3 linked regions of the Lytechinus pictus genome follow. The protein of the gene in region 2 binds, or shares a complex with, the protein of the main gene of each other region. Links are inferred from orthologs where the notes say so. Each region holds a gene or a part of one and is shown on either strand. Other genes may lie near its edges. The genes, in order: splicing factor C9orf78-like, transcription termination factor 2-like and nuclear inhibitor of protein phosphatase 1-like.

What was found.
Region 1: transcription termination factor 2-like (region 2) and splicing factor C9orf78-like share a complex: the UniProt entries of both Homo sapiens proteins name them as parts of the spliceosome. The link is inferred for Lytechinus pictus from reciprocal best matches to the Homo sapiens genes TTF2 and C9orf78.
Region 3: transcription termination factor 2-like (region 2) and nuclear inhibitor of protein phosphatase 1-like share a complex: the UniProt entries of both Homo sapiens proteins name them as parts of the spliceosome. The link is inferred for Lytechinus pictus from reciprocal best matches to the Homo sapiens genes TTF2 and PPP1R8.

Annotation. Positions count from the first base shown.
Region 1 is NC_087259.1:27,476,462-27,487,879, reverse strand, and holds the start of splicing factor C9orf78-like, read right to left. Parts: upstream 4,540-11,418; 5' UTR 4,479-4,539; intron 3,970-4,478; 5' UTR 3,942-3,969; coding exon 3,915-3,941; intron 3,218-3,914; coding exon 3,147-3,217; intron 692-3,146; coding exon 605-691; intron 1-604. UniProt on the Homo sapiens protein: Plays a role in pre-mRNA splicing by promoting usage of the upstream 3'-splice site at alternative NAGNAG splice sites; these are sites featuring alternative acceptor motifs separated by only a few nucleotides. May also modulate exon inclusion events.
Region 2 is NC_087256.1:8,334,159-8,345,144, forward strand, and holds the start of transcription termination factor 2-like, read right to left. Parts: upstream 4,588-10,986; 5' UTR 4,480-4,587; intron 3,885-4,479; 5' UTR 3,806-3,884; coding exon 3,801-3,805; intron 3,489-3,800; coding exon 3,428-3,488; intron 2,780-3,427; coding exon 1,549-2,779; intron 669-1,548; coding exon 397-668; intron 1-396. UniProt on the Homo sapiens protein: DsDNA-dependent ATPase which acts as a transcription termination factor by coupling ATP hydrolysis with removal of RNA polymerase II from the DNA template. May contribute to mitotic transcription repression. May also be involved in pre-mRNA splicing.
Region 3 is NC_087261.1:1,176,553-1,187,148, reverse strand, and holds the start of nuclear inhibitor of protein phosphatase 1-like, read left to right. Parts: upstream 1-5,730; 5' UTR 5,731-6,035; coding exon 6,036-6,061; intron 6,062-10,596. UniProt on the Homo sapiens protein: Inhibitor subunit of the major nuclear protein phosphatase-1 (PP-1). It has RNA-binding activity but does not cleave RNA and may target PP-1 to RNA-associated substrates. May also be involved in pre-mRNA splicing.

The sequences.
Region 1 (11,418 bases), on a different chromosome or scaffold from region 2:
CTTATATATGTATTTCCTGAAAATGTTACTACTTTCTTCCAAAACTACGATATCAATTTTATGTGGTATGCATTTATGCTTGAATAGTCAGAAGGCATGGTTGCAAAGAATGAATCCAGATGCCCATGAAGTCATAATCCGAAATGACTTAATAATGATAATAATGGTGATGTATTATTTAGCGCAAACACCTCCAGAGACGCTCATGGCACTTGTTTCAGTAAACTTCAAAACAGAATGACGTAAATCAGCATCAAATGAAATGGAATGTAGTATTTGAAATGGAATGACAGAATGGATTGGAATGAAGCTACAAGCCTACAATTGGTCAATTCAGAATCCGCCAGTTCTTGTAATAGTTTGCCAATCAAAATATACATTTAACATTAACTGTAATGCATTAAAATGGAATGGAGAAGAATGAAGAGGAGGAAAGAATAGTACAAAGTAGACTAATATTGAAAAGAATAAAATGAAAAGAGTGGAATAAAATTCATTTGAATAGAATGTAATGGAGTGGAATAGATTGCAGAGAAAAGGAGTAACATGGAATTGAATGAAATCAAGTTTTAATTTTTTTTATTTCTCCATATCATGTTCTTACATTTCAGCGTCTTCATCTCTCTGGTTTGTCTCAACAGCAAAAGTGCTTCCCATGTTAGCAACATCACGATCATAAGCTTCATCAGACCTGGAAGAGGGTTTTATAACACATTTCAGATTCATGGAATAGCTGAAACTGTACATGCTAAGGCTACACAGTATATCCAAATCATATTGGAATACCATGGACTTTGATGCTGTCTGATGTGTCTAGTACTTTGAAACAGAGCATACCTCACAATAATAAAAAAAATCAAAACTTCATACACATTAAGAGTTTTTACCACTACAAAACTGCCCCAAATCGTCATTACACAGTGCATGGCACCCCCAAAATTCACAATGCACCAAGTTTCCAATGGAAAGGGAATTTTTCATCGATATCTTGAGAATTTACTTCAAACCCCTGTTGTTTTCTGGAGATATCGAAAAAATATTGTGGAGCATGTGCCTTTTTTAACCCCTACATGTATATGCTATGTAGAATTATATTTCTCTATTTGACTAGATAGGGTAATGTGACACCACAGATTACTCTATCATTACTTATTACTTATACTGCATTTTTCCCATATCAAGGCCCAAAACACTTGCAATGAAATAATTAAAAAGAATTATATAATGATAAAATTACAAATAACAAAAGAGATGGGTTTCTAATACCTTTCTGAACATTTCTATTGATGGAGACAGTCTCTTATAAGTTGGCAAGTCATTCCAGTATTTTAAAGGACAAGTCCACCCCAACAAAAACTTGATTTGAATAAAAAGAGAAAAATTAAACAAGCACAACACTGAAAATTTCATCAAAATCGGATGTAAAATAAGAAAGTTATGACATTTTAAAGTTTCGCTTCATTTCACAAAACAGTTATATGCACATCTCGGTCGGTATGCAAATGAGGGAACTGATGACATCACTCACTCACTATTTCTTTTGTATTTTATTATATGAAATATGAAATATTTAGATTTTCTCGTCATTGTCATGTGAAATGAAGTTTCATTCCTCCCTGAAGACGTGGAATTCCATTATTTTAACATTTTGTGCTTCAGGCAAGGAGGTCCTAATCATCAAATTCGTAAAAATTGAAATATTGTATAATACAAACAATAAAAAACAAAAGAAATAGTGAGTGAGTGACATCATCGACTCTCTCATTTGGATGTAACTGGCTCGTTCATATAACTATTTTGTTAAAAATAAGCGAAACTTTGAAATGTCATAACTTTCTTATTTTACATCCGATTTTGATGAAATTTTCAGCATTGTGCTTGTCTGATTTTTCTCTATTGATTCAAATCAACATTTTTCTGAGGTGGACTTGGCCTTTAAAGCTGACAAAAAAAAGTTTTAAGTACAATCACAGAAAAAAAAAAAATGGCAAGTGGAACCATACCCAGTTGGTCTACTCATACATAGTCCAACTATCATTTGGCCCAAACATCAATTGTTTTATCATTAAGTCTAATGCCCGGGTGATCTTTCACTTTGTCTACTTATTAGTTGCACTTTAATAAATGAAACATTTGATTAACAATAAATCACAAAAAGTTCATTTGTTCATATAGTCAAGGCTCCACACTAACTTTTTTCTTGGTGGCCCAATGGGTCCACCAAAATCATCAATTTCATATCATTGGTGGCCCGCAACGCAAATTTGGTGGCCCTAAAAATATTATTATTAAAACTTTGGTAGCCTAAACCAAGCCACCAAGTGTGGGCTTTTACAGAATTTTTTTGTGGCCGGACTCTCATTTTTGGCTGCCCTGGGCCACTGCTAATGTCGAGATATAGTGATAAACAAAGTGGATATGATTTATACAAAATGGGGGACAGTCTGACCCCGGGGGAGGGGGGGGGGGTACTCGACCAAAAAAGTAGTAGGTATGTGCCGCGGGCGAGACAAAAAACGGGGGCTTGGGAGCGGGCTTATTGTAAAAAGGAGGGTCCTTGGAACGGGCTTCAGAACTACCAATGTTTGTGAAAATGGGGGTCCTTGGAACGGGTCGCCTGCGTGGGAGTGCGTATGCATACGTGTATGCAGCTAGCCAGGCGGCACGGGCGCCGGGTGCACCAGCGCAGAGGCGAAAGTCGGAAAGCGCTCTGCGGCCGCTTTTCACCAAAATTGCGGCTCATTGTAGCAGATCAATGCGGCTGGAACGGCGTAATGGAAAATATGCAAAGCTTTGGAGCGGATTTCTTTCTTCTTTTTTCTCGATAAGAAAATGCTTCGGAGCGTCTAACTTTGTTCTTTTTCTCAATAAGACAAAAATGCTATGCCTTGAAACAGAAATTTGAGTGTAGAAATGGGGGTCCCCTCCGCGGCACATACCCACCATGCTTTATATACTGAGTGCCCCCCCCCCCCCCGGGAGTCTGACTGGAAATTGAACAAAATGGTACACGAGCTAAATTGCAAATAGACCAAATGGCACGCAGATAACCTGGTTGCTGACAAACTAAGATTAGACCATGTGGAATGGGTTCAAAGACCAAGTGGTATTTTACCATGAAGTGATGGATGCCTATATATACAAACCTGTCTCTGTTTCTGTCCTTGATATCCTTCATGTTCAACATCCCACCTGCCTTCAGATTGAACGGGTCATCCTGCAGTTAAAACAAACAAAAAATTTAAAAAAAGATTACATCAGATAAATGAAATGATAGTATTAAAAATAAAAAATTACAAAAACACTGATAACAATGATGATGATGATGTGACTTAAAAGCGCCAAATCTACTCTGCAGATTTTTCATGGCGCATACATGTAAGATACATATATGGAATAATGCAATGCAGCTCTTTATATGTAACATTGCTCATTTGAAAGCTAACCAATAACAAATGAAAAAAAAGAAACCACATAAATTCCAAGATTATTGAGAGAGCTACTGAGGCCAAAGGGTATGTGCACAGATTGGCTACATCAGCATCTAAACCAGCAATAGTAAGAGAAATAGAGCATTACCTTTAATGAAAAATAAACAAAGCATGCATTTTGCTGCGCATCAAAACATATTTCTTTAAAGAATTCAATTTTTTAGACGAGTAAAGGGAAGTGATTTAATGCATGGATATAGCATTTGACAGGTGCTAAAATGGTGCACAATGAAAGTTAGGGGATAAAATTGGGGCAATTGAAGGTATAGATTATGTTCAATGAAACCTAACTATGTCAACACCATTGAGAGCATACCGGTGTATAATAGAGGCATACCCCGGTGAAGTCAGCATGCCACACATGACGGCTATGCCTACGGGAAAAACTTTAAATGGTATCACAAAGATTCAACTAATACTTACATCATTCATTTCTTCGACTTTTGTCATTTTCTTGCCTGTGAGAAGGGCTGTTGCACTGGAGGTACAATCAAAGACGACAATTTCACCATTAGATTACAAAAATTTATTACAATGGATATATTCAACATGAATATTTTCAACATTATACTTATGTATGGACCAGTTCATCATCTTGAAGGGGAAACAAATTAAGTGTACAATAGGCCAGGGAGTAAAACTTACACAATCAAATGTATTTGATCACCAATCGGCAACTGAATACTACTTTTAACATTTAATTATGCGTGACCACTGGTACTGTAGGTCAGTCAAAAAGGCCAACTTTTGGCTGATTTCCAATTATCCAGGAATCTCAATTGTTCAAACTATTTGATTATTTACCCGGCCAACAATCTATTGGCAAAAGGGTATTTGTCCCAGGCTTATTGAACAACATCATTAATCATGGAAGAAATTTGTTGGACAATGTTACAAAGAGAATTCATTAAGATCAGTGTTTTTCATAAATAAGAAATAAATGTAGTTATTTTTTATTTATAGTTGTAATATAATTTCAATACAAACCTAACACCATGGGGTCTCTCTCTGAACTTCTGAGCTTCTTTTGTTTCTTCCAAGATAGACCTGCGATAGTGCAAAGAATATTATTTCAAGCTGGTTATTATCATGGCACTTTACTTGAGTAACAGATTGATGGGTGGGTACTTCAAGACAAAATGATAGAGTAAACAATCAATATAGTTGGAAACATTTTTTTTTTGTTCTTGTTGTTTCAATTTATGAAAGTTTCACCATCAGTTACCCCTATCTCAAATTAATTAAAGTCTCTGGACTCCTTCAAAACAAAGCTCATCCAAAAGCCTAGTAAGTAAATAACCCGATTGTTCGATGATCCCCACATTTTCAACAAAGTTGGCGGAGTACAGCAAGTCTGAATATATATGCCAACTTAACTCAAGACAAGAGAGTTACCCTAGCTGCTTCTTGACCGCTCACAAGGAACTTGAAGCTCCCTGGATTACCAGAATCCAAACAATGTGATGAGTACCACAATCATATATGCAGATGTTTATCGGCATAAAGATATATGCTACGACTTATCTTTTATGTCTGAGAGGTAGTTTTACACTGCTCGGGTTTTCTTGTATTAGAGAGAGCCCTGGAATGCTCACACTATAACATTTACAAAAAGACGATCAAGAAATGTACATGTATGATTCATGGGTGAAAGACATTTCCGCCAATAGAGGGCGAGAGATTTATATTCATATTAAAGACACTAGATCTACAAGGAAAAGACTAGGCACTCAAACTAGTTTACATGCAAATCGATGGAAAGGAAAGCAAAGTTGGTGAACTGTACGGACTTCCTATTGTAGAGTCTTTAATTGACTCTGTTTGTTTACAAACCAACAGACCTTGTAAAGCTGGTTTTGTTCAAGGCACGAAGGTTTTTTCTTCTATTTTTTATCTTAAGAAAATAATATTTGTCACTGCTAATAAAACATTTCCAAAGTAGAAATCTCAGGGGCCAAAATTTCAGTTTTTTTCGCGGTACACGCACAAGAATAGGACGCAATCCCTGGCTCCGTGGAGGGTAAGCACACTATGGGGAACTTGGTCGCCCGCGCGAAGTGCGACAATTACACCTTTTACTCTCGAGCTACGCGCGACCGTGCGTGCAACCATGCCCCCCAGAAACCCTCCATACGTACAGGATCAACCCGCAACGAGACGCCATTCACACGTTCACCGCTTCTACAGTTCACTTCTCTCGCAACCGCTCATCACGCATACACAGCCAGGACTGGTTCATACGACGATTCCAAGATACCAAGTTACTCCAAGTTCAGCTACCAGTCACTGAGTCTAACGTAGACAGTTATATCTGAGTCTTCAACCTTGTTCTCTGTAAGACGGACTGACCCAGGATTAAGGTGAGTATAATTCTCGGTAATCCAGCTAGGCCATAATCCATATAGTTAGGCTACTATATATTGGCGCTGCGTCTAAACACGACTCTGCGCTAGTTTTTTAAATGTTTTTTAAATGCAGTAAAGCAAGCGGCGTAGAAAAGTTAATTGGCTAAACATCATTTTAAGTACTTAAAAGTAGGGAAAAAAGTGTAGCGTAGGGCGGTAAAGTAATTCGCATTCTATACAAATTGTTTATACAGTGTATTTGGATTCAATCCGCCGTCCTAGCGATATATATCTTTATTACAGTTATCTTAAACAAATAATACCAGTGTTTTAGGGCTTATTTTCAGCGTTTTGCGTAGGTTTTAAACCCTTACACTATCCCCTTAATCCAGTTTAAATTTTGGGTGTGGCAGGATGAACGCCACGTAGGGCACGCCATTTATGCAAATAGCTGTAAACGTTTTCTATTGTTCGCCGCTCCCCGCATTCTTTTGTTTGTTAGGGCTGAGTGTATGCCTTGCCTGAGAGTTGCTTGGGGTGTGGTTCGGGTGATGAATTTGTATTTACCCCCTTTCCCTGTTAGGATTTAATTAAATTAGGATTTAAATTTTTGACGTAGGATAATTAAATTTAGGAATTGTACGTAACTGAGATATATATGTATTGTTGAATTTGGCTGATGGTGATTTAATGATTGCGTGATTGGTGAAGGATCGTATTGCTTAACCTGACTTTCCCCCCTTTAGCTGTAGTAGACGACGTAGAATCTTTGTATGTTGAGTAGTTGAATTATGATTCTATATGTCACGAGTGAAAGCGAATTTTGACAATTTATTATACTGATTTTTCCGTCCGGCAGTAATCATTTTTGGCGCCAGTAAGGTTGCCGTTTTACGGATTTATTTGGCGCCATTTAGATTGCCGCTTTGCGGATAGAAAGGATTTTATTATCGCCGTTTTATAGGTTGCGTGAAATATGAATTATACTGTGGCTTTTTAATGGAATTATCTTAGTGCTAGCTGGCTAAAACGGAGTTACCCTCATACGTGTTTAATTCGTCGGGTTTCTCTTTTGGACTTTATTTAATAGTCAACTTGATTTTATTTCGGTATTAAGATATCATTTAAAAAAAAAAAAAAGATAAAAATAAGGAGTGATCAATATATTTTATATGCCGTTTCGAGCCACCAATGCTTATATTTAGAGTGGCATTAATCTATAAATTTTAGTGGATGGTATATATATTAAGTAATTACTTAGTCAGTTGGTGAATACTTAAAATATTTTTTGAAGCTTGAACATAAGTCTGGGGACTTGCCCAATTATATTATATTGGCCTAACTTGTCTTTTGATTTAGTGAAAATACTCATTGATTCTTGTCACGTAGATTGGTAGACGCTCGTATTTTGGACAATTGTTTTGTTAATTTTATTTTAGGACTTGAAGTTAACTTTTGACTTTGTCTTTTTATAATACGGTCCGTCTCTTTATAATCCGATGGTAGGTGTAGGTAGGTGTAAGTGAATTAGGTTTTGAATTTTCTGTCAGCTCCCAGTGGTGGCCTGACCAGGAGGCGTTCTTTTTGAGACTCCTTGGTCAGGGCACCCAAGGGAGAGTACTCATCCTGCACTTACATGTAAGGGGCGATTCTAAGAATAATATGGCATACACGGCGCATACTTTGGCCCGCCGGCTTCTTGAAAAGCACTGCTACCCCCTCCAGAGGATACACCTCCACAATTTCTCTAGCGACTCGCTGCAAGCTAGAAAATGGACGGCTGCCTTTCCATATTGTTATTTTGGTATTGCTGGGATGGCAGCTATTTCACAACGGATCAAATCCAAGGCCTTAGGGTCGTTCCCACGAATCGGCTGATTCTGGAGACCGATGCTCCGCATCTCCCTCCTCGCCCGGACATGACAGTGACTTCACCTGAAAGCCTGGGTGATGTGGGGGCGGTGGTAGCCAACCTGCGGGGACAGCCCTTGGCCACTATAATGGCCCAAACCACCTACAACGCTAAGCAACTGTATGGCCTGTTAGGGTAATAGGGTGTATTATTATTTTTTTTTTGGTGGCCCCTGTCTCATAATTTTTTTTCTGTCCAAAATCTTGCCCTCCCTACTTTGGAGGTTAATTAAAAGATAAGGTCACAGCCTATCCATATAATTGAGGGGTCTTAGGTACTTCTCTTCTGCAATGCAGTATTTTCTCTCACCGGAGAACGTTTATATTCTGTATCGTGGTGGAGACGGACTGAGAAGTTTTCCCAACTTACCGGGCCGAACTAGACCAGATTTTACATCCCCAAGTGGAAAGTGTCTGTTGGCTGTCATCTTTCAGACCCTCCTTAGTCTTCAGGGATTGGTAAAGGTTGCGGACTCTTATATTCAATAAAATCCAAGGGACATTGGTTTAGTTAGTTTTTGAAATATTGTGCCAAATTGTGTCGCACGTAAAGTTATATATTCAGGCGATATTTCAGTTATTTTAACCATTGTGCCAAAATATGTCACAGGTGAATTTATAAATTTCTTTCAATATATCCAGAGGATATGGGTATGGTTTTTTTTAAAGACAATATTGTGCCAAGTTGTGTCACACATTAAGTTATATATCCAGGTGATATTTTAGTTATTTCATCCATCGTGCCAAATGACGTCACAGATGAATTTATAAATTTCCTTTAATAATATCCAGGCGATATGGTCTTCAATTTAGTTTTAAAGTCTGCTGGCCAATCAAGGCCTATTATTCATTTATCACCCTCCAAAGTTTGATAGAGATTTGGGGCCAACCATATTTTTTTGTATGTGTAAATAGTCCTTTAAAATAGATAGGCATATCCTGATCACTGCATGAACTACATGCTTAGTAGCTTGTAACATGAAGACATATATACATATATATGTATATGTTAAAAGTTTTCAGAGCATGCTCAGTGCCCATGAGGATAGGAAAAGAAACCTAAATTCCTCAGTATATGTTTACGTTATATTTCCGAGATACTGGGAAATAATTGGTTCTTTTCAAGGATCTGGGACAAGTGTTTTATTCCTTAATATCATTATAATAAGTTATTTCTAAAAGGGATGGCGCTATACGTAACGGTTTAATGTTACCTTTTTTTTCCATTCCCCATACATATATCTGTATATACATGGGTGATTAGGGCAGTAGGAAGTCAATAATTAATCTCCCCTTTATTTTTACGGTTGGGGGGAATATGGGGAACTTGGTCGCCCGCGCGAAGTGCGACAATTACACCTTTTACTCTCGAGCTACGCGTGACCGTGCGTGCGACCATGCCCCCAGATACCCTCCATATGTACAGGATCGACCCGCAACGAGACGCCATTCACACGTTCACCGCTTCTACAGTTCACTTCTCTCGCAACCGCTCATCATGCATACACAGCCAGGTTCATACGACGATTCCAAGATACCAAGTTACTCCAAGTTCTGCTACCAGTCACTGAGTCTAACGTAGACAGTTATATCTGAGTCTTCAACCTTGTTCTCTGTAAGACGGACTGACCCAGGATTAAGGAGAGAATAATTCTCGGTAATCCAGCTAGGCCATAATCCATATAGTTAGGTTACTATACACACGTTATTGAATGATTTTTACTCTCTCTAGGAGCCTCCTGGCTAAGTGTGAGTGGACATGACCGAGGCTAGACCAAAAGCTTCAGTCTCTGTATTTTGGTTGTTCTGCTGAACTACGTTGGCTCCACTCACCAATACATAGACTGAAGAGTTGTTGGCCCGTACATATAGACAGTGGTATACTGAACTAACGTTTTATAGGTCGCGATCTAAAACTGTTTTCAAGCGAAATTTACAGTTTCATGGTTTCCATTGTCAGGGAAATATAAATAACTTAAGTAATTGAAAAAAATCCTCTGGATAATTGAGAAATCTTTTGTCTAAGACATTTTCAGCTGACGGTTTTTCTTGCAAGTTGCCATCTTGAATGACGTCATTATCCTTATTAACTTCTTAATGTCTCGATATATCGAATGTCGTCTGCTACCTGTGATCGTAGCGGTTTTGCTTGTTGGCGGTTTGCATATGGCGCAGATCATATAATATCAAAAGCAATATCGATATCGCATTCGTAAATTATTGATGCCCTCTCCATTCGTTGGTAATTATTTCATATTTTGGCTGCTATTTTGGGGGGTGATTCTTGAGACCAAGACAAGTAAATATCGGTAACGTACCATTTCCACACCTTTTAATCTCTTTTTTCATGTCTTGATTCTTTAGTTATTCAAGACACTATTTAGGTGTTTCTAAATCCTTAGACTGTAAATTATATTTTTTTAAATATATTGAAGTCTAGAATCTAACTGTTACTAAGTGTTAGACTATCAAAGTCTAACGTTTACTTAGTTATCATTATTAAGACCCGAAGACAGTACCCGAATTCACTTGTCCACTGCAATCATCCTGCCTGTGGGGAATCTACAGGTAGGACTATGGTATGCCAATGCTGTACAGAGCACACACTTTAAAAAATCATTAAAATATCACTTTTGTGACCAAAATTACTAATTTCCTTACAGTTGCAATTTATTTTTCAATTAGTAACTTGGGAATAATTTTTGTATTCACCAGAGCGCTCAAAAATTTGAATTTGGGCATATTTTTGTGTACGCCCTCTATTGGTGGAAAGTATGTATGGCAAGAAAATTTTCATATTTCAATCTCTATCTTAAATTAAGAAAAAAATAATTTAAAGACTCAAATTTACTGAAGAGCCAAGTAGTATGATCTATAGGTGTAATGGAAACTGTCAGTGTAAAAAAAATCAAGCATTTGTCCCAAAGAAAAAGAGAAAATAAGCCAAACATTGCCACCCTTATTTTGCCACACATGGAGATGTAACTGAGAAAGGTTATATCATAACCTTGTTCATTGAATGAGTGCCCGAATTGGGCGATGAATGGGAATGATAGTGAAATGTCAGAAATTGTTAAGGAAATCCCCAGAAACTTTAACATCTAAGCTTCGAATCAGTCCAAATCCACCCATGGGTTCATATCATCTCGCGTGCGAAGGAATATCAGTCATATGCACGCGACACACACGACAAGTCAAAAAGATAGTGGGCTTTTGCCCACATAAAATATCACCAATAATCTGGTATTTCACATTCTGCTATGACACTTACCGAATCATTTAGATCCTTCCGTGACTTCTCCTTGAAGTTTTTTCTTAAAAATATGTATATTTTCTTGATCTTTAGTGAAGATTTCACGGGGATAAAATTTGGTCAGCGTAGATATCAATTTTTGCCTAAAGAGGGCGCGCGATTTATATTCATATCAAAGACACGACAAGGGAAAGATTAGGAACCTACACTATTTTACACGCAAATCGACGCAAGGCATTACGCGAAGTCCGTCAAGTGTCCAATCTTTTCATTGTATAGACTTTGGTATACCGTGACGTTCGTTAATACTGCTTGTACTGCTGGTTTCGTTCCAGGCATGTGTATTTTAAAAAAAGAAAATTATATTAGTCATCGTTTTAAATTAATTGCAACAAAAGTGTTATCATCGCCAATAGTA
Region 2 (10,986 bases):
TCGTGATTCTTGGCAGCACTGCAGAGTAAAGTATTTTGAAATTGTAGAGAATTTTTTTTTTAATGGTCCATGGAATAATTCAATTTTTTAGCTTCATGAAATAAGGTATCGGATCTGCAGTTAAAGTGCAGAAGATGAGAAAAATCAGCTCATACCCGCAGCTAATTAATCACCTGTTCACCCATTGTGACGTCAGCGCGCAGAGTGTAAACTATGCGCAGATCATAATGCGCACAAACATAACTGTGGAACGTCCTTAAATAACACTTATCGTGTTCTTTATGTTAGTCTATCCCTTTAATTCATCACCAAATAATGGTTAATGAAAAGGGATTAGAGTTAATGATCCATAACATGAAAAGAAATAAAGAACAAGATATCTAAAACATTAATGACCTTCTGTCGCTGCAACTGTCTCTCATAGGCTTGCCTCTGAGCAAGCAAAGCTTTTGGATATGCTGCTGCAGATGATATCCCAGACTGGTTTGAGTCACTTCTCACTGAGGATACCTGAGGCACAACATGCACTGTTTGGTTGTGAGGAGCTGGAAGAGGGGCACCAGTCTTTTCTTGTTGATGCTTTGGAAGAGTGGAGGATGGAGCACTTGTAGAAGTATTTGGTTTTGTCTCGTTGTTCTTTTCATTAGGTTGTGCTCCTTTGTCACCATCTGTGGGGAACAGACAAGTTGAAGTGAAAGCATACCTCCTTGTTATGAACAACAATATTGGTATTGATACATTTTAACTTGATTAACCATGAATTTGTAATCAGCTTTTCATCTACTACTTGTCCAGCAATCTCTACTGGAATTATAGAAAATGAATTTGTTGTAATGTATAAATAGCAAATTCTAAACTAGTGAAAGCATGAATTTGTAATCAGCTTTTCATCTACTACTTGTCCAGCAATCTCTACTGGAATTATAGAAAATGAAACTAGTGAAACCATGAATTTGTAATCAGCTTTTCATCTACTACTTGTCCAGCAATCTCTACTGGAATTATAGAAAATGAATTTGTTGTAATGTATAAATAGCAAATTCTAAACTAGTGAAAGCATACCTCCTTGTTATGAACAACAATATTGGTATTGATACATTTTAACTTGATTAACCATGAATTTGTAATCAGCTTTTCATCTAAATTCATAAACACAAAACAAAACAAAGTATAAAAAAAACATAACAGGTTGGGCATTCATGAAAAATAACATGTTAAGATGGGTATCCTTTGTTCAGACACTTGACGGGATGAGAAAAAAAAACATCACTTTTTGCTCGCTCTGCATTTTCACAAAAATCATCAAATAGCACACAAAAATTGAAGGTGTGTTACTGTGTTGCAATGTCTAAAATAACTTTCAATTAATTCATAAAATATTGCTTGCAATATGCTTGATATATCACTGGCTTGTCCTGGAAAAGCACTTGTCCAGCAATCTCTACTGGAATTATAGAAAATGAATTTGTTGTAATGTATAAATAGCAAATTCTAAACTATACAATCATTTAGATGGTTTAATGATAACAAAAGTAATGTGCAACTTACTGCCTGGAGCATCAATCTTCATTTTGCGCATAAGTCTCTCTCTCAATCCAAGACTAGGATCCACTGGAGAACGGCGATCGTCCTCTTTACTCTGAGCTTTCGTGGCACCAGCAGCTGATTTATTCTCAGTGCAATCTTTGGATATCACCTTAGGTGTGTCTTCCAGGATGATACAGTCATCATCATCAGTGTCATCCTTGCTTACTTCTTCTTCATCACTGCTGATATTGTCATTGAGGGCGCTGCTGTTCCTCCATGACATATTCATACTGTCATTTTGCCGCACCTTGTCAAATCTTGAGGCCAACTTGTCCTTTGTTACTGCTTGTTGGCTACCCTGTTTGCTGTCTTTGCTTGCAGCTTGATGATACTGCTTTTGTGGTTGCGTCTTCTCTGCAGCAACTGCTTCCAGATCGGATTTTACAGTAACAATCTTCGGTCTCGCATCATTGGAAGTGGCTGATTGAGATCTCATCTTGTGGTTGCCATCCTTGTGTGATTGACTAGGACCTTGTGCTTGCTCCTTGTTTGCAGACTGCCGAAGTTGATCTTTCTCCTTGGCAGCCACCTCTGAGGACCTCTCTCCTCGCGCTTGCAAATTCTCATGATACCTCCTATCATCCCCCTGAGACAATTTCTCTACAGGATTAATTTCAGAACCAGGTCGTCTGTCTTGACTATCCCCTTCACTCCTACTTCTGTGAGATGCACTCTTCAAAGAACTTTGATCTGATGCACCACTGCCTCCATGACCAAGTTTCTGCTCCATCTGATCTTGTTTCGTATCTCCTCCATAAGTCTTCCCTCTTGAGAAAACATCTCTATCTGAGTCTGAGCTAGTCCTCCTCGGTTCATTACCACCTCTTTCCAAATCTGATCTCTTGGCTCCGTCCCCACTCCTGTTTCTTCCCGTTTCTCTATCAATCCCATCTTTAGATGGTGGCTGCCTCCTGGAGTCATACTCTCTACTCCCAATCTTTGCAGCATGCATCTGTTTGGTGATATCATCCATGTCTCTCTGTTTACTGGAATGCTTAATATTCTTTGACTCAGCACCGTTGTTCTGGCCTGTCCGAGTTTCATCTCTCCCTGATGATGGCTGTCTGGTAGACTTCACTAATGAGTCTGGTTTCTCCACAACACCGCTCTCACTAGAATGCTTGAGGCTGTCAGAAGATAGAGAGGACATCCCATTCACATCACCAAGTGGCCTGCGGTTGGCTTGACGGACCTGGGTGAAAACATCACATTTAAAGATAATTCCATTTGTGGTCACCACCACGTAAGAAATACTAACAGGTTCCAATGAAATGACTACTCGTGTTTGAATGTGTCAAATGGTTCCGGTAGAAAGTGAATGACTACTCATTAATAAGCAAAATAAGCAAGGCATTTTCTTGATGGATTGGTCTTATATATACTCCAATGCTTGCCTATTTGTGTTAACAATTTCAATCACTTCTTTTGGATTGCTTAGTTTCTACTAGTTTTCAGTTCGGCTTGCTTAATTATGCCATAATCTATTATGGTGATCAGATAAAAAATCACCTTTTCAATTATTGCCAACAGTCTTGTACTTTGTCATATATTCATTGCCAAATATATAATAACAACAAAAAAGTGGAATAATGCTATAATTAACAACCACACAAACAAGAAGAAAAAAAAAGAAAATAAAACTTGGGGACCTAAAAACCTGCATTATTATTTCCCTGTCTATTTCCCAATTCAGTATAAACAAAACAAACGGGGATCACAAAAAACACTTTGAAATCCTGCGAAGTAATTAGAAGACAGTGGGCATTGTTTTTTTTTACTAAAGCTATTTCTTAGACAGTTCCAATACTCTGTCAACCAAATCTTATCTAATTATGCTTACCACCACATAGCCACACCATCCTTTGCCCTCATGCATGGATTTTGTACATCGATAGTACTGCCTAATGAGACAAACAATGTAGAAAAGCATCTTAAAAACAAAATCAGGCAAGTTCAACAAATATACATTTGGCTTGAAATCAGATTCACTAGAAAGTGTCTTCACAAAATATAAAATATGTTGCAATATCACTGTGTCATCCTCTTTATGGATTACATAATATTTTCATTGAAATCTCTCTCTCTTTCTCTCTCTCTCTGATTGTCTCTCTATTCTATCAAACCCCACTTTGAGTATCAAAAGGCGGACTTCCTCTTTAACCTAAGAGCTAAATAAAATAAGAGATGACTTTAAAAAAAAAATAAGAGCTTACCTCATCTCTCCATTGGCTTTGGATCCATATCCTTGCAGTTCGACTAGTACGTCAGTATGTTTGAGGCAAAATGATGGTGGCAGACTGGAGTTTGAAAATAAATAGTGTTTTCATTGCAATAGAATAATTCAAGTTAGGTTCATCAGTTTCACAAGCAGTTTATCACCTCTTGAAGACCAGGGGAGGCATTATAAGGAGGGGAGGGGGACTGAATTTAAAATTACATAAAAAATAAGTGGAAGAAATAAGGACATAGAAAGGAGAGATCAGAGTTGTGGATCTACATGTATACTAGAACCCTTATTATATTATTTAGAAATTAAATGACACCACTAGGTCTATGAATAATGCAGTCCCTGTTTAAGACTGCTATTAGAAGGCTTTAGAGGGATGGATGAAAAAATGAATACCTATAAATATTTTGATGCACTTAAAAAATGTTAATGGTAAAGATAAGATTAAAAAAATACATTCAATCATTTTCAATTACCTGTACATACTCATTCATGAAAGAGATATATCCTATACAGTTGTATATCATGTTATTTGGAATTTCAATAATGTACGTATGTATTAATGTGTTTTTATACTATATGCCCAATTATATGATATTTCAAATGTACTTTGGCAATATTTTACTTCAAATTGTACATGTAATAGGGCATATATATATACCTACCTTGTTTCCTGCACAAAATTGCACTTCTGTTCAGATGAGGATCCACAGATGTAAAAACTCTTCCCCTTTCTTGATCCTTCACTGACACCGGTTTTAAGGAAGCATAATTCTCCTAAAATTAAAGATATAGCTTAAAAATTCATATCATGGCTTTACATTGTTGCAGCCTACGAGCATGATCATTAAAACACCAAAACATGAGCAGTTCCACTGGAAAATAGACTTAGTCCCATAATTTACTCTCTTAACATTAATATTGCTCATAATCTTGTAAATGCAACCCATTAATCCATGATATATGACTGACTGCAGTCTTCAAGGTTCTAACAGGTTGACTTGGAATTCTGCAGTAAACATTTTTCAGAGGAGCAATTTTTTTTACTCAATGAGTTGTATGAGATTGGAACAATCTACCTCAAGAAATTGTAGAGGCAAAGTCATTGCAAAGTTTTAAAAACTTGCTTGACAAATTTTGGTGGAATGAGAGATTTAAATACCGCTTATTACAGATGCACATTCAAGTTAAAATTAACCATTAGCAATCAGTCATGACGTTAAGACCGGATATCTACAGACTACAAGAGAAATCTTATTTATCCATATCCTGATGTCATGACTGATGTGATACATGTGATAATTCTTAGTACCAGCATGACCAGTATGCTCTGCCATGAAAAATGAGAATCAATCATTGAATCAGTAATAGTGTCAGTATTCAGTCTGTCCAAAGCAAAAAAGGAAATTGATGATGGTGGAGATGGTGCATTACATGCTGCCGACTACAGGAAATTTGAAGGCACGGCTCATGCAAAATTGCAACACTTCCATGGCCCTTGCATGAAGATCAGACAAACTTTAATAAAATCAAGTCCTTCTACGAAACTTACCGAACGATGTGAAATCAATTCCCCCTAATATCATGAATATCCCTCAAATAGTGTCATTTAAGCGCTGATTTCTCTTCTTGTTGATAAAATATGGATCTGTCTTATTTCCGAAATTTTTCGTCTAATTAGCTAAAGAGGGCGTGCGATTTATCTTCATATCAAAGACACTACATAGAAAAGACTAGGCACAAAAACTATTTTACACGTAAATTGATGAAAAGCGTTACGCGAAGTCGGCAAAGTGTCCAATCATTTTAATGTAAAGACTTTGGTGGAATGTTCGTTGACAAATGAATGGTAGCACTGCTGGCTTCGTTCAAGGCACATAGAATTTTCTTCTTTTTTTTTAATTTGTCATCGCTTTGAATGTTATCCAAAAAGTATTATCGTCAGCAAAAATAATCTAAAAAGTACATTTTTTAAGTTATTGCATTGATTGGTGTCTATATTTTATCAAACAATCATGGGAATTTTCACATACAATGAATCTAGACTTTTTCTAGATATAAAATACTGACAAGCTGAATTAAGGTTGTGAATTGTATTACCGCCACCAACAACCTTCCTTTTTATTTCCGTGGAAGAGACATGCGAAGCCACTTTCCCGGCCGAGGTAAGTGATTTTGCTCTTTTTTATGTGCTTTTTATTTAAAAAAATAATATAAAATTGAAAATGGAATGCTCCTCACCAGAAAAAGCGCTGGTGAGTAGCGGAATGAGTTTCGGCTAACATCATCCCATTATGAAGCGATGTTAATCGACTACTAAAATATCCACTGCGTAGAAACGTTTGTAGTGCGAGGTTGGTATAGTATACTAACCTCGCAGCAATATGTGTGAGTAGTCCCGGGGGGGGGGGGGACCACTTCCATTGACGAGTGGATACCATGGGCAACCATGGGGTCCCGAAAAGCACCCTAAACAAGTATTTTCCATATTCTGAAAATGCACCCCTTAACAAGTATTGTTGTGTGAAACCCTACTCTTAACAAGTATTGGAAACAAAACGATACCCTTGGCAAGAATTCCCTGAATTGAACCCCTAAACAAGTACAGTGATATTTTAATGTCATGGATGTTAGTTTTACCTGTACCTACATAATTGGGCTTATTACGGCCCCACCTCCCACACCTCGGACTCTAAACACGTAGTGTTGACTGTTGGGGCAAAAAGTACATCCTTTATGTAATATTTTTGTCTTTTTACCCTTACAAATTTGACCCTAAACACGTAGCTTTCCTAGCGAAAAACATACCCTTTTTTCATTATTTTAGTGTTTTTGACACCCTTCTTACGTTACGTACGTAACGTGCCCTATCTTGAAAAAGAACTAGACAGGAATAACTGTTGTTTCTGGGGATTTATTTAACAATTTCTGACATTTTACTATCATCCCCATTCACCGACGGTAGTGTGTTAGTGCGAGCCTGCATGTGTAATCAGGTCCACCAATTCGGGTGACCGGGTTTTGTCTAGATTTTTTTTTTTTTTTTAAATGACATCATATTTTCTTGAACGAAGGCCCACTTTTTTCGTTAGACTCTGAAATATACCTTACCAATGATTTATTCCTTATATTTTTAATTTTTCTGCCGGAAAGGAAAAAACGGCACCGTGTGTTGCTGCCCTCTACGTTCAACGAGTTGTGCTTTTATCAAGGCTTTCCGATATAAAATTTTAGATATCCTGGCCAATCAATGCGAGCGACAAGTTCCGAACACACACACATCTACAAGCGCGAAGCAGCGGCACAAATCGCGATATATAGACTAGCGACTGGTAAACATGTCTCGCTGTAAGGATGATGACATCATCCAAGATGGCAACTTACGTTGACCAACGAAAAGATCGAAGATGACTATGTTTTGATCATCGTTTGAAAGGAATTAGCGGTAACTGCGGTCTAAGGTACAATATTTCTGAATTTTATATATTTTTTAACGTAAATTTGATGTAATTTCTTTTTTATAATGTGACATTTTATGTACAAAAAACCGATCCGAAAATCAGATTTCCGCCGAATGTTAGATCTAACGTTACTGCTAATACTTTGACGTTGTCTGTACTTACGGGCCAACAACTCTTCAGTCTATGTATTGGTGAGTGGAGCCAACGGCAACGCAGTTCAGCGGAACAACCAAAATACAGACTGACTGAAGCTTTGTTTTGTTTGGACTTTTGGTCTAGAAAAAGACATCCTTTATTTCTAGTGTTTTTTGGTCGTGCCATGGTATCCACTCGTCAATGTAAGTGCCCCCCCCCCCCCCCCGGAGTGGTCACTGGGTGGAGATTGATCCCCCTCCTTCCCCCCGGAATATCGTCTTATGAACCGCGGGTCTCCAAACCTCATGTGGTTTTGTTGTGATTGCCATTCAAAGGTCAGTGTGTCCGCCAAAAGAGATCATGTAAGTGAAATGGATCCCTCTGTTGAAGCAATGCAAAGTATTATTGGAGAATTGGTGAAGAAGATCGATGCTCTTACTTCTCATGTCATGATGTTGGAGAAATCTTCTACAAAGGTTGAAAACATTGAGGCACTTGTGGAGGAGAAGGTTAAGAAGTACATGGAAGAGAGTAAGGATCAGGCAGAGAGGGAATGTAATGTAATACTTCATAATGTCCCTGAGTTGGATTCTGATGAGGTTAAGGATCGTGTTGCACATGATTTTGACCAAACCAAAATGATCCTCAACCAGCTCAACGTCCCAGATGCAGTTGTGGTACAGAAGCCAATCCGTCTTGGCAAGAAAGTGGCCGGTAAATCTCGACTTCTGAGAATGTCGTTTGCTGATAAGAGTGCCAAGAAGAATGTGCTATCTCAGGCTTCCAAGCTGCGTGGAAATCCGAATGGAGTTATTAGCAATGTGTATGTTACTCCTGACCTAACCTACCAGCAGCGCGTTGAGAATAGAAAACTCCGCGAAGAGCTCAAGCAGAGAAAAGAGGCTGGAGAGCAAAACCTAAAGATAAGCCATGGGAAGATCGTGCAGGCTACCCCTGCCTTTCGACCGAATGGAGTCAGGGAATCCGGACCAAGCGTCCAGCAGTAGTGGCCCAGTACAGAGGCCTCCAACTGTAAATAATGTACATAGTCTTAATGTAAATAGTCCTAGGTTAGATAGAACAAATTTACTACGTAAACAAGTGAATAGTAAGAAAAGTTCAAATACATCACCAGTTTCTAATTTTAGTTCTAGCTTAAAATGTGTTTACACCAATGCAGATTCATTGCGCAACAAAATGTGTGAACTAAAAGCTCTCGTGAAGAAAGAGAAACCACATATCATAGCGATCACTGAGGCAAAACCAAAACATTTCAGAGATTTGAGCAATGAAGACTTTATATTGGAAGGTTTTACATTTTATCACACAAACATTGACAAGGCTGTTGGTAGAGGTATCGTATTGTATGTTCATAAGTCATTGAATGTAAATCAAGTGAGTTTTGAGAGTATTCATTTTGAGGAAGCAGTTTGGCTCGAACTGTGTTTGAAGCATTCTGATAAGCTGTTAATCGGTTGTATTTACAGGAGTGATAGTGCTGCTAGTAGAAATAATGAGAATCTCCGTCAATTGATCTCACATGTTTCAGATTTGAATTATAGCCATTTACTTGTACTGGGTGATTTTAATTACCCAGAGATTGATTGGGACTCTTGGACAACTTCAAAGAGTGAAGCAAGTGAAGAATTTAAATTTATTGAATGTGTAAGGGATGCCTTCCTGTTTCAACATGTCTCTGATCCTACAAGGTTTAGATTCAATTCTAGACCTAATGTCCTCGATTTGATCTTTACTAGTGAAGAAGGCATGCTAGCCAATCTTGAACATTGTAGTCCTTTAGGACTCAGTGATCATTCTGTCTTGGTTTTTGACCTACTTTGTTATGCAGATTGTAGTTCAAATGAGAAAAAACGGTTTGTGTATGATAAAGGTAACTTTGGAGGTATGAGAGAGAAACTAAGCTCCATAAATTGGGAAGAAGAACTATCGGCATTGAATGATGTAAATCAGCAGTGGTCTCATGTTTTGAGTATAATTGATGAAGCTGAGGATGAATTTATTCCTTCTGTAGTAACATGTGGTAAACATGCATGGGGCAAAGGAAGTGATTTCCCAGTTGATTATGACACCTTGAAATTGATTAAGAAAAAGCACAGAGCCTGGGAAAGATATATTAGAGACAAAACTGTAGAAAAGAAGAAAACTTATAACACAATCAGAAATAAAGTGAAAACTGCGACAAGACATTGTCAAAAACGATATGAGTCAAACATTGCCAAAGAAGTAAAATCTAATCCTAAAAAATTCTGGCAGTATGCAAAATACAAGACAAAAGTAAAGAGTGGAATACCACCACTCTACCAGGATGGAACTGGAAGTAGTAAAACATTGACAGAATCAGATGTAGGGAAGTCAAATGCACTATTGAAGCATTTTTCTAGTGTCATTACTAAAGATCCTGATGGACCTCTCCCATCTGTTAAACATCATGATGTTCATATTCTAGACACAATTGTTATTACTGAAGAGTGTGTATTAAAGAAATTAGAGAGTTTGAATATATCAAAATCACCAGGGCCAGATGGGTTGCATCCCCGTGTCTTGCGTGAACTGGCACCTGTTCTTGCAAAACCTCTGAGTATTATTTACTCGAACTCTCTTACATCAGGCGTAGTACCAAATGTGTGGAAAAAGGCCAATGTCAGTGCCGTATTAAAAAAGGGTGATCGTAAACTCCCTTCAAACTACAGACCAATAAGTCTTACATGTATTGTATGTAAAATCATGGAGTCTATCCTGAGGGATGAAATATATGAGCATGTGAGGAGCACCAACCTTCTCAGTTCAAAACAATTTGGATTTGTATCAGGACGATCAACAATGTTACAATTACTCAATGTGTTAGATGATTGGACGAATATGTTGGAGGTTGGTGGTGCAGTTGATGTCATCTACCTAGATTTCATGAAAGCCTTTGATAAGGTCCCACACCAGAGACTTTTAGCCAAAATTGAGGGATTTGGCATATCTAAGCTCATATGTAAGTGGGTCAGGTCTTTTCTTGTTGGTCGACAGCACCGAGTTTGTGTGAATGGTGTGTTCTCTGACTGGGCTGATGTAACCAGCGGAATACCGCAAGGGAGTGTCCTCGGACCCCTGCTTTTTGTAATGTACATTAATGATTTACCGGATCAGATTTCGTCAAGTACTGTTCATTTATTTGCAGATGACACCAAGTTATACAAGCATGTTAATAATGACAGAGATGCTGAGTTATTACAAGCGGACTTAGATCGTCTTGTGTCATGGTCAGACAAGTGGCTATTAAAGTTCCACCCGGATAAATGTTGTGTACTTACTATTGGTACAAAGAATGATGAATTCAATGAATATACTATGACACATGATAATGCTTCACATAATCTATCACAAGTTGAAACTAGTAAAGATTTAGGAGTGATTGTCGACACAAAGCTTAGTTTTGACCAGCACTTTCAGTCAAAGATAAATAAAGCCAATAGGCTAATGAATCTAATTAGGAGAACATTTGTTTATCTTCACAAGGAGAACTTCCTACTCCTATACAAAGCATTGATTAGACCTCACTTGGAGTAT
Region 3 (10,596 bases), on a different chromosome or scaffold from region 2:
ACTAAAACAAAGAAGTAGAAGACGAAGAAGAAGAGATATTTATACACAGATGTTATGAACCCCCTTGTGTAATTATAATATTGTGTATTAATTTGAGCTAAGAAAAACTGAACTTTTTAAAAGCCCAAACTACAGATTAATATAATTAATATTCTTTGTGCAAAGCCGATAATAAATTAGTGACCATGAAGGCCATATTGATATTCATTGGAAGTGATTTCGAATTCAGATTTATTCGTTCTATAGCAATAATAAGAAGAGGAATAAACGTAATACGAAATTTAAATCAGACTGAATAGATTTCAATGACATAGAAAATGCACCGGTATATGTAGGTCAACCAAGCTTCACTCTACCTTGTACATATATTTCGTTGACTCATTTCCTACACAGCGAAATTTTTAATAAATAATTATGATATTTTTTTGTAGTGACGTAATTTAGAACACACCCCCTAATCCATTGTGACATGAGAGGCAGTTTATTTTCAACCAATAGGAGCCTGTTGTAATGAATATTCTCGTCAAGGACGTGAACAGTTTGGTTGCATATACGCCCCTAATTTTGCTGATAAATAGACGAGTCGTCGATCCTGGAAGACTTGTGGTTGAACCAGGAACCATTCTGATAACCCGTATCAGGACAATTACCCCCCGGACAACTACCCCCTGAGGACAACTATCCCCCGAGGACAATTACCCCCCGGACAACTACCCCCGGACAACTACCCCCCGGACAACTACCCCCCGGGCAATTACCCCCAGACAATTACCCCCCAGACAACTACCCTCCGGACAATTACCCCCCAGACAACTACCCCCTGGACAATTACCCCCGGACAACTACCCCCCGGACAATTACCCCCACCGGACAATTACCCCCCCGGACAATTACCCCCCCCCCCGGACAACTACCCCCCGGACAATTATCCCCGGTCAATTACCCCCCGGACAACTACCCCCGGACAATTACCCCCCCCCCCCGGACAATTACCCCCCGGACAACTACCCCCGAGGACAATTACCCCTCCTCTCCGGCATCGGTGTTAGAATTCCTTTTCTCTTTTAAATTTCCCTCTCTCCCTTTCTCTCTCTCTCTCTTTCTCTCTCATTTTTTTTCTTTTTCCTTATTTTTTTACTTCAGAGCTTGCGCCTCCAAACCTCCCATTTAGTTACGCACATATACATCAAATAATATTTAAAGCGTCCCTCATACTACCTTTTATTTTCAAGTTTTCATAGAACAATTGAACATTCATGAAATGACTGCTTGGACTTAGCCATGAAGACTTTACATATTTCAACAATCAAATAATGCAAGCGTGAAGCGCGAGCTGAAAATTTTTGACATTTCTACGTAAAGAATGGAAAAATTTAATCAATTTTTGTAATCGTGAACAAGATAGCTATATAACTAAGCAGTAAATAAAGAGGCTTTAATAGCAGGAAATCATAATTTATAAATAAATTTTCGGCATTACTCCTATGTGTTTAAGATCGCATGCTCGATCTTTAATGAAAATCATAACAGAAGAGGATTGAGGGTATTTGAATTCTAGTTCATCGTGATAGCCGTGAACAAGAATAGCCTGGTGGTTAAGTCGCTGCCCGGAAAGCAGTAGATGCAGGTTCGAATCCCACTGGTTCCAATTTTTTCTGACTTATGATGTTCATTGAAGATCGAGCATGCGATCTTAAACACATAGGAGTGATGCCGAAAATTTGTTTACATATATAACTAAACAATTAATTATTTGATGCGAGCGCGAAGCGCGAGCGTAAAAAAAATCGAGATTTAGACCTTAAAACGGGACTCTCAATTCACGTTTTGTAAATCATGAAAAGAATGAGTAATATGGGATTTTTTTTTTCTTTTGAAAATAATTTTATTGGTAACATAATCACATGAAATAGTTACATAAAATGTAAACAATGTCATACAAAGCATGAAATATTTTCTTCAACAATACTGTTTTCAAAAATACACAAATTTTTCCTTTTACAACGCTTCTCTATTTCTATACGATTACAAATCAACCTTTTGAATAAACACAGTATACCAAACTCATGAAATCGACAACTCCGACTTACTGTTCGAATAAAAATTGAATAAATAGCATACCTTGCATACATAATAAGAAGATTCAAAATTCTATACTCTTTATTTTTTAACTCATATCCTTTTATCAAAGTAGCAACATTAAAATCAAAATTAATGCCTACAACTTTATACACAATGGTACTAAATTTTGTCTTTTTTCTTACACGTTACAAATAAATGTACGCTGTCTTGTATTTCATTGTCATGTGAACATAAAGGATTATCCCTTAACTTCCATTTATACATATTATATTTATGAGGTAAAAGATTATGTAATAACTTATAATTAAACTCTGCTATTCTATTTTCTTTGACAGTTTGTAAATTAAATAACCATACAGATTTCCAATCAATTTCTTCTTGTAAAATATTTTCCCATCTTTCTTCAGCTTTAGGCTTAATACTTATGTTATTTGAAATAATGGTGTAAAATAACTTTGAACCTCTTTTCCTAATTACATTCGTCAAAATATTCTGTAGAATGTTTTCATTTTTAGGTTGAAGAATCTCAAAAAATAACTCAAACCGGTTCATTTTCCAAACTTTCGGTATGGCATTCATTACAATGTTATACTCCTGAAAAAGACTTGCATACTTTTTTTTCAAATAAAACTTCTATTTCCTTTAATGATTTGAGTTTGGAATCTGAAATAATGTCCTTTACCTTTAGAATTCCAATATCGAACCATCTTTTAAAAAACAATACATTTCCATTGCGATCTTTTATATTCGAATTAAACCACAAACTTTCCTTCTCGATCTGGACATTTTGAAAACCTGATTTATTTTGAACGGTTTGCTTAAAATTCAACCAGGCGTAAATTATTGCCTTATGATAATATGGCATTTTTATTTTATCTATATTTTATCTACATATACTTTAATTTCTTTTTCTGTACAGTTACTATGTAATACAAAATCTAATCCTCCAAATTGAGAAAGATAACTATCAATGGTTGTACTAAATTTCGATTCTTTGTTATTATAATGATACAAAATCCATTTCAATAAAAAGCTTTGGAGTAACATATTCAAATCAACCATTTTGAGTCCATCTAGATCATATTGCATACAAACAACCTTTCTCTTTACTTTATCTATCTTTCCATTCCAAAGAAAAGAAAACAATAGGGAGGTTAAAAGCTTTACAACTTTCTCTGGCATTATAATCATTTGAGCGTTATACAACATTTGAGAGATGAGAAATGTTTTAATTACAAGTATTTTTCCTGTTAAAGTTAGGTGACATGCATTCCATGATTTAATCAAACGTTCTACTTTCAATATTTATATGAGATCTTCGTACATTAATAATGCGAGCACAAAGCACGAGCAGAAAATTTTTGATATTGTGGTCTGAAACTGGATAATGATTTAAATTAAGAAAACAAGTTGAGTATCTGTATAAACATATGCGCGCGTGTTTCGACCTAGCTAGAATCTAGGCATTCTAAATAATCTTTTATCATGAAAATCAAAGTGAGCGTAAAGCGAGCGCGAGCTTAAACTATTTGATATTCCGATTTGAAAAAAAGAGTTTTGACATAGGACCGGGACATCCTTAGGACATGTGAATGACTGTCTTCCTATTCCTCTTGCTAAGCGCAAGATGAAACATAAGGGCAATTTAATTCTTAAATTAATATCTATGCCTATTCAATATTGAGGGCGCGAAATCTGATGATATTATGGCCTGAAAACTTGACATTTCAAGCACTTTTTTAATTATAAATAGGACGCATCAGTTAATGTATTTAAACCATTAAAGCGAGCGCAAATTGCGAGCTTAATTTTTTTATACACTGTCATGAAAAGGGGATTTAAAGTATAGTTTGTTGTATAATTAATATTGAGACATTATATAACTCACCAATCAAAATGCGAGTGTGCAGCGATAGCTGATACGTTTTTACAATCAGACCTGATAAGGGATATTTTGAAAATTTTATGGAATACACGAAAATAAAAGATACCTGATAAATCAAAATTTGCGAGCGCTCAGCGCGAGCACAAAATTTTAATATTCAGACCATAAAACTGACATTTTTACAGAGCACTTTTTAAAAATGAATTTGTAAATCCAACAAAATAATGAAAGTTCGATTTCCGAGATGAAATATGTTATGTATATTGACTTCAATACTTATTTCAAGCTACATATCAGCATATTGAGCAAGCTATGTATCTCACCCGGGGGGGCCACTTCCATTCACGAGTGGATACCATGCGCGACCATGGGGTCTCGAAAAGCACCCTAAACACGTAATTTCCATATTCTGAAAATGCACCCCTTAACAAGTATTGGCGTGTGAAACCCTACCCCTTAACAAGTATTGGAAACAAAACGATACTCTTTGCAAATATTCCCTGAAATGAACCCCTAAACAAGTACAGGAATGTTTTATTGTTACGGGTCCTTCGGTCGTCGGCTTTACCTTATTTGGTTAAGTACGACCCCACCTTCTACACCTCACGCAAATTGGACTCTAAACACGAAGTGTTGGGGCAAAAAGGACATCCTTTATAAAACATTTTAATTTTGTTTTATCATCCCCGCAAATTCGACCCTAAACACGTAATTGTCCTAGCGAAATAGATACCCTTTTTTCATTATTTTTGTGTTTTTGACACCCTTATCACGTTACGTACGTAACGTGCCCTATCGTGAAAAAGACATCCTTTTTACGTGTTTTTTTGGTCGCGCATGGTATCCACTCGTCAATGTAAGTGCCCCCCCCCCCCGGGGTATCTCATCGAACAGGCTATTCCCCTGACCTTATTTTATTCACTCGTCTCCCTCCTATTTTCTTCTTCTTTTTTCCTCCGTTCTTTCCCCTTCTTTTTTTCTCTTTCTTTCCCTTTTTTTTCATTTTCAAGGGGGGGAGGGCATCGGGCCCGGCCCGGCTTGATCCGCCAATGTATCACGGTCACCTTGACTTATCATATTTGAAACCTACATACCACGCATACCACATCATGCACACACGATAAGATAAATGATTATAGCTCTAGAACTACTCAAATATGCTCCTCAGAATAGATTATATGAGGTTGATTGTTATCATCCAGCGCACATTTTAAAAATAAATGTGGATTTCTAAACGGGACATCCAATCTTTGTTCTGATCAATATTTGTAACACATGTCGGACAAAAAATCATGAAAATTGTCATTTTGGTCAAAACATGGCAAGAATGACCACTTCTATTGTGATTTGGCAAATTGGCAAATGAAACCACTTTATTTGGAATCTGGGTGCATTTTTACTTAGGATGGACCTTAATTGGATGTGGTTACAAAAGCATTTTGTTATAAGGGACCATTTTCCAAAGAGTGGTCAAAATTGTCATTTTTGTTCAAAAATTGGCCAAAATTGCTCAAATGTCGTGAGTACGGTCAATAAGACTGACTATTTTGGAATCAGCACACAATTTTACCCCGGATAAGCCTGTCAAACCTTCCCCACCAAAAATTCTGAATAAAGCCCCCTTTAATTCTCCCGATCCTACATGTGGTGTGTGCCGCGCCCTGAACCTAAATGTGTGTGTGTGTGTGTGTGTGTATTTGAGTTTTGTCAGACGTGTATCAATCAGATATGATTATTTACGTCTGGGACCGACCTTTAACGTCACCATCCGAAAGACGTGACCTGGGGAGCGTTTCATGAAAGGACTTGTCGGACGTTTTATCCGACAAGTCCTGTTTTATCCGACAGTTACCATAGTAACAGTGCCTCACAGCCAATCAAAATCAAGGAAAGATGTCAGATCTGACAACTTGCCGGACAAAAATCTTGATGAAACGCTCCCCAGGGCTCGAACCTCTGCATCAATTTGTAACTTCCCCACAGCTTGGATTACAGGCGCACGCCACAACGCCCTAAACTTCCTAAACGTATCTTGACCGTAGATGGCAGCAATCCTTAGCTCGTCAACATGGCGAATTTCGAGGTACCGTCATGGTAAGATTTGTTTATTTATTTACTCAGTTTTTGGTAAAAAACAGATCTATTTATCATTTTCTCAGTGATATGGTCCGTGTGAAAATTGATCCGTAGATTTTTTTTTAAGATCTAAATGAAAAACAGTATGGGAGCAGCTGATTTTCAACCCTGTTTCTCGCTCGCTCAGGCTGCCTTCGCTTCGGGCGGGGCGCAGCCCGGCCCCGGCTCGGGAGCTCGCAGCGGACAAGGGGAGACTCCAACATTGGCATGGTGGCGTGGGCCGGGGATTGGGCGTGGGGCCTTATCCTGAAATAAGTCATCTCTCTTCTCGTGTGTGTCAGTGTGTTTGAGCTCGTTGTGTTATGAGTACAAAGTCAATGGGAGATAGATGAAGAAGTCACTGACGAAATGAACGATCGCGATGTCGCTGTCCAGTGAATGTAGTGGTGACTTAAACCAGGCAGGATATTTAGATAATAAGGAGCTTTCGATTGTCTGCGACTGCAACGTAGTCCTAGTTCACCGGAAGTGGTGACACCGCTCGTTCAGTATCACGTTCGTACATTGATGAAAACAGTTTCGATTTAAGTCGACGTACCCGTACCAGGCCACAGCATATACCAGCGTGATAGCGAGCGGGCCGTGGGCCGATGCTCGGCTGGAGAATCAGGCGTAGCATCACGCTACGAACCAGTGCCAGTGGGCGTGTGGGTGCAACATTTGCACTCTTGCGCAAAAAGCCGAAAAAAACACAGTTGTTTGGGAATAGAACAACAATTACCTATCGGATTAACCCAGAGAGCTCCCGCCCGCTGCGCGGGCGGGAGCCCAGAAGCTTACCGTGTATTTGACCATATTCACTGGACTAGGGTGATTTATGGTCTAAATATTTCTCCAAATGAATTGTGAAAACAGAAAGTATACAATTACCACAATTATATGGATGAAGGTCTAACGAGTGGCAGTTTCCTGACATCTGGGCACAGACTGGGACCTCAAAAAAACGAAAAGTTCTCTCCTCTACCCCAGTCTCGATCGGCCATTTTGTTACGATTTTTAACAAAAATGGCCGATCGGAACGGGGGTAGAAGGAGAGAACTTTTCGTTTTTTTGAGGTTCCAATCTGTGCCCAGATGTCAGGAAACTGCCACTCGTTAGACCTTCATCCATATATCGTGGTAATTGTATACTTTCTGTTTTCACAATTCATTTGGAGAAATATTTAGACCATAAATCACCCTAGTCCGGTAAATATGGTCAAATACACGGTAAGCTTCTGGGCTCCCGCCCGCTGCGCGGGCGGGAGCTCTCTGGGTTACTATCGGATATGTAGTGTCTGAAAACAGGACACACTAATGGAAAAGCTGGTAACAAGCAGTAATTTGCAGTTTACCAGCCCTGCTGAATCAACGAAACTCGAATGTTGATGCGGCTTCATTCATTTTTGCTAAGCTTGGATGACGTCATCATGTACGAACTAGCGCTCGTTCGAGCACTATGAGTATGATACCGAACGTCAAAACCCTCAAATACGAGTCACAGATTTGAGCAGTGAACGAGAAGGCTCGTCACAGATTACTTCGCGCATGCGCAGCGCTCCTAAAATTCCTTAATCTCGTACGTCCACATGGCTCCTCACAGAAAACGAAAGGTCTCCAATGCCGGGCTTGGCGGCGCAGGAGGCTCCGTCCTAAGCCTGCCCTTGGCTTAGGCTAACGTTCGACAGTGAAAATCATTTACTAATGTATCAATATTGTATGCTTACTCTCCACGGAGCCACGGACGGATGCCATTGCTCTTTGCACACCAAGTATTTTTCTTTGGCAACAAGTTGCTGCAAAATACCGGTACTTGTTTTCATAAGACTTTACTGTCTTTAAAGTTTAGTTTGTGAGCCCAAACTATATGACATAGACTAGACATTGTTCATGAAAGCAAGATTTATTTTACGTTGATCGTGTTAATTTTCTGGTTTGATTAAAGCACAGTACTGCGCATGCATGATTGATAAGCGATGACTTTCATTCATGAATTCATCGTGCATAAATCATCTCGGCACGAGCAGACGAGTAAGACTCGAACAATGATCGAAATCATTGAAATAAACTTCAAATTAATGGTGAATATGCATCATAATTGCACAATCGGTTTCATTTTCGGGGGAATATAAATCAAGTAAGTAGTAGTCAAGTTGGACATTACTGATATTTTGATGATTGATTGTGTGAACCAAACAAATCTTTTTTTTTTCGATGCACAGATTTGGCAAAATCTGCACCGGCGCTCGATGACATGGATCGAACACCGATTTTAAAATCGATTCGACTCAGGCTTAAAAATAAACTTGAAAGGACAAAAACAGTGACTTTCTTCAGCTGTCGCACAACTCCCACTTCCCTGGTTTATCGGAACTTAATACATAAACATATAGCCATTGAGTCCCTGTACAGATCGAGTTAGAACTTCGGTCTCTGTAATTGGTGAGTGGAGCCGACGGAGTTCAGCGGAACAATTAATTTAACAGAGAAAGAAGCTTTTGGTCTAGACATACACTAGAGCTAGATCTAAATCAATTCAAACTGTCTAGAATCTATATGTTTATTGTTCTTTTTTACTCGACTTTTCCAATGAAATTAGGCTCGGTAATTAACCTAGCTGTATATTCCATCAACTTCTCTTTTCCCTTAATTTTAGACAGTACTTAGGCTATCCACTATTCAATTAACTTTGTTCTTACTCCTCTTTTCCAACGAAATTACACATGGTAATTAATCTATATTCCAACAACCCCTCTTTTCCCTTCATTTCAAAACCGCTGCCACTTTTAGACGGTTAGCTATCCATCCATCCACTACAATTTTAACAAGCTTATCTTCCTTTTTTACTCCAGCGCGTGTTATCGCGTTGCCAAAACACATAGACGGAGCCAAAAAGAATGATAAACTTAAGATTCTAGGTTTTATCCTCCTTTTTGGCTCCGTCAATGGGTTTTGGCAACACAACACGTGCTTGAGTAAAAAAGGAAGATGGATAAATGATATGTTGAAAATTAATGTGTGTGAATGTGTGTGATATATCATCTAGGATGATCCATTATGATTGGGGGGAGTGTGATGATGTGAGAGTTATTGTGCAATATCATGTCAACCCAGATATTGTCCCATGTGTGAGAGAGCGAGCTGAATGTCTCGCATCATCTATTGAAAATCAACGAGGCGCAGTAGTGCTTATTGAAATTCAGGTACTTTATATTTCATGACATTATCGTGAAATTGGGAACTGCCGTTTATTTCATACCACAGTGCTCTATTCAGTGACACACATGGTTCCCTATAAGTGCGCATACGTACAAATCAACGAGTGGTTCCCAAAACTATGATTTGGCCGATATCTTCATAAACCAAGACAAATCATGTCTTGATTGATCTAAATTGGGATTGTCCTTGTTTAACGTTATGCCTATTTTTTTTCACTTATAATCTACCACTGTGGGATACTAGACTAGACAATGATAGACACCAATTTATGGGAATTGAGAGTGCTAAAAATAGATTCATTGACCTCAATTCCTCCCAGTTCACCATCTATTTTTCACGACTTGCTGTCTTCCAATAATCTGACCTTATTATGAAACCTGATATGTTTGCATTGACTCGATCGATCGATATGGGCACTCAGACATGCAGGGACAGATGAATGAACTTTCCTAACATTATTGTATTTCTTGTGTGGAAAAATTATTTTTGTACACTCAGCTGAAACACAACCACACGTAGAGGGCAGATATTTTGTTTGCAGTTTTGGATTGGGCTTTGTTGAGCAGTGGGGGACCGGGAAGGGTTTATTGAAATCATACTGACACTTGATCCTAGATAGGAGGTACATTGTAAATGTAAAATATGAACATTTCATTCAGATTTGCCATCATCAATACCACAAAAACCTGACAGTTTGCAAAACATGCATATGTACATGTATGGTACATTTACTAACAGGTTATGAGACTTTTATTAATCCCACACCCTACTATTGAATTCATATTTTTTGTGTATAAATCCAAACCCAAAAATAAGGCTTCAAAATTTTAAAGTGTCTGGACACCCATCCTACATATTTTTCGAAAGGGGGGGTACATTTTCCCAAGGAAAAATTTGACAAGCAAAAAAAAAAGTCTTCACTTACAAAAGGGGGGGGGGCACATTTCTGTTTCAACGGTATTTTTACTTTACAAATTTTAATTGTGCCTCTCAAAAAGGGGGGGCACGGGCCGGCTGTGCCCCCCCCCCCCCCCCCTCCCCCGGATACGCCAGTGTCCTACACTATCCATGACAATGAACAGAAAATAGACTTAACATGAGAAAGGACTGTCAGAAGTATGTGCATGTTTGCTAACCTGAAGAAAACAAAGATCATACTGCCTATACATGTGTAGATAAAAATTAAATTTTCCCAACTATGTTCTGGCTTGGTTTAAGGATTATGGCTTTGAAACTGCAGTGAGAAATTTATTAATACATGTAGAGGGTCTATGTCTATTTTTCTGTTCCTTTATG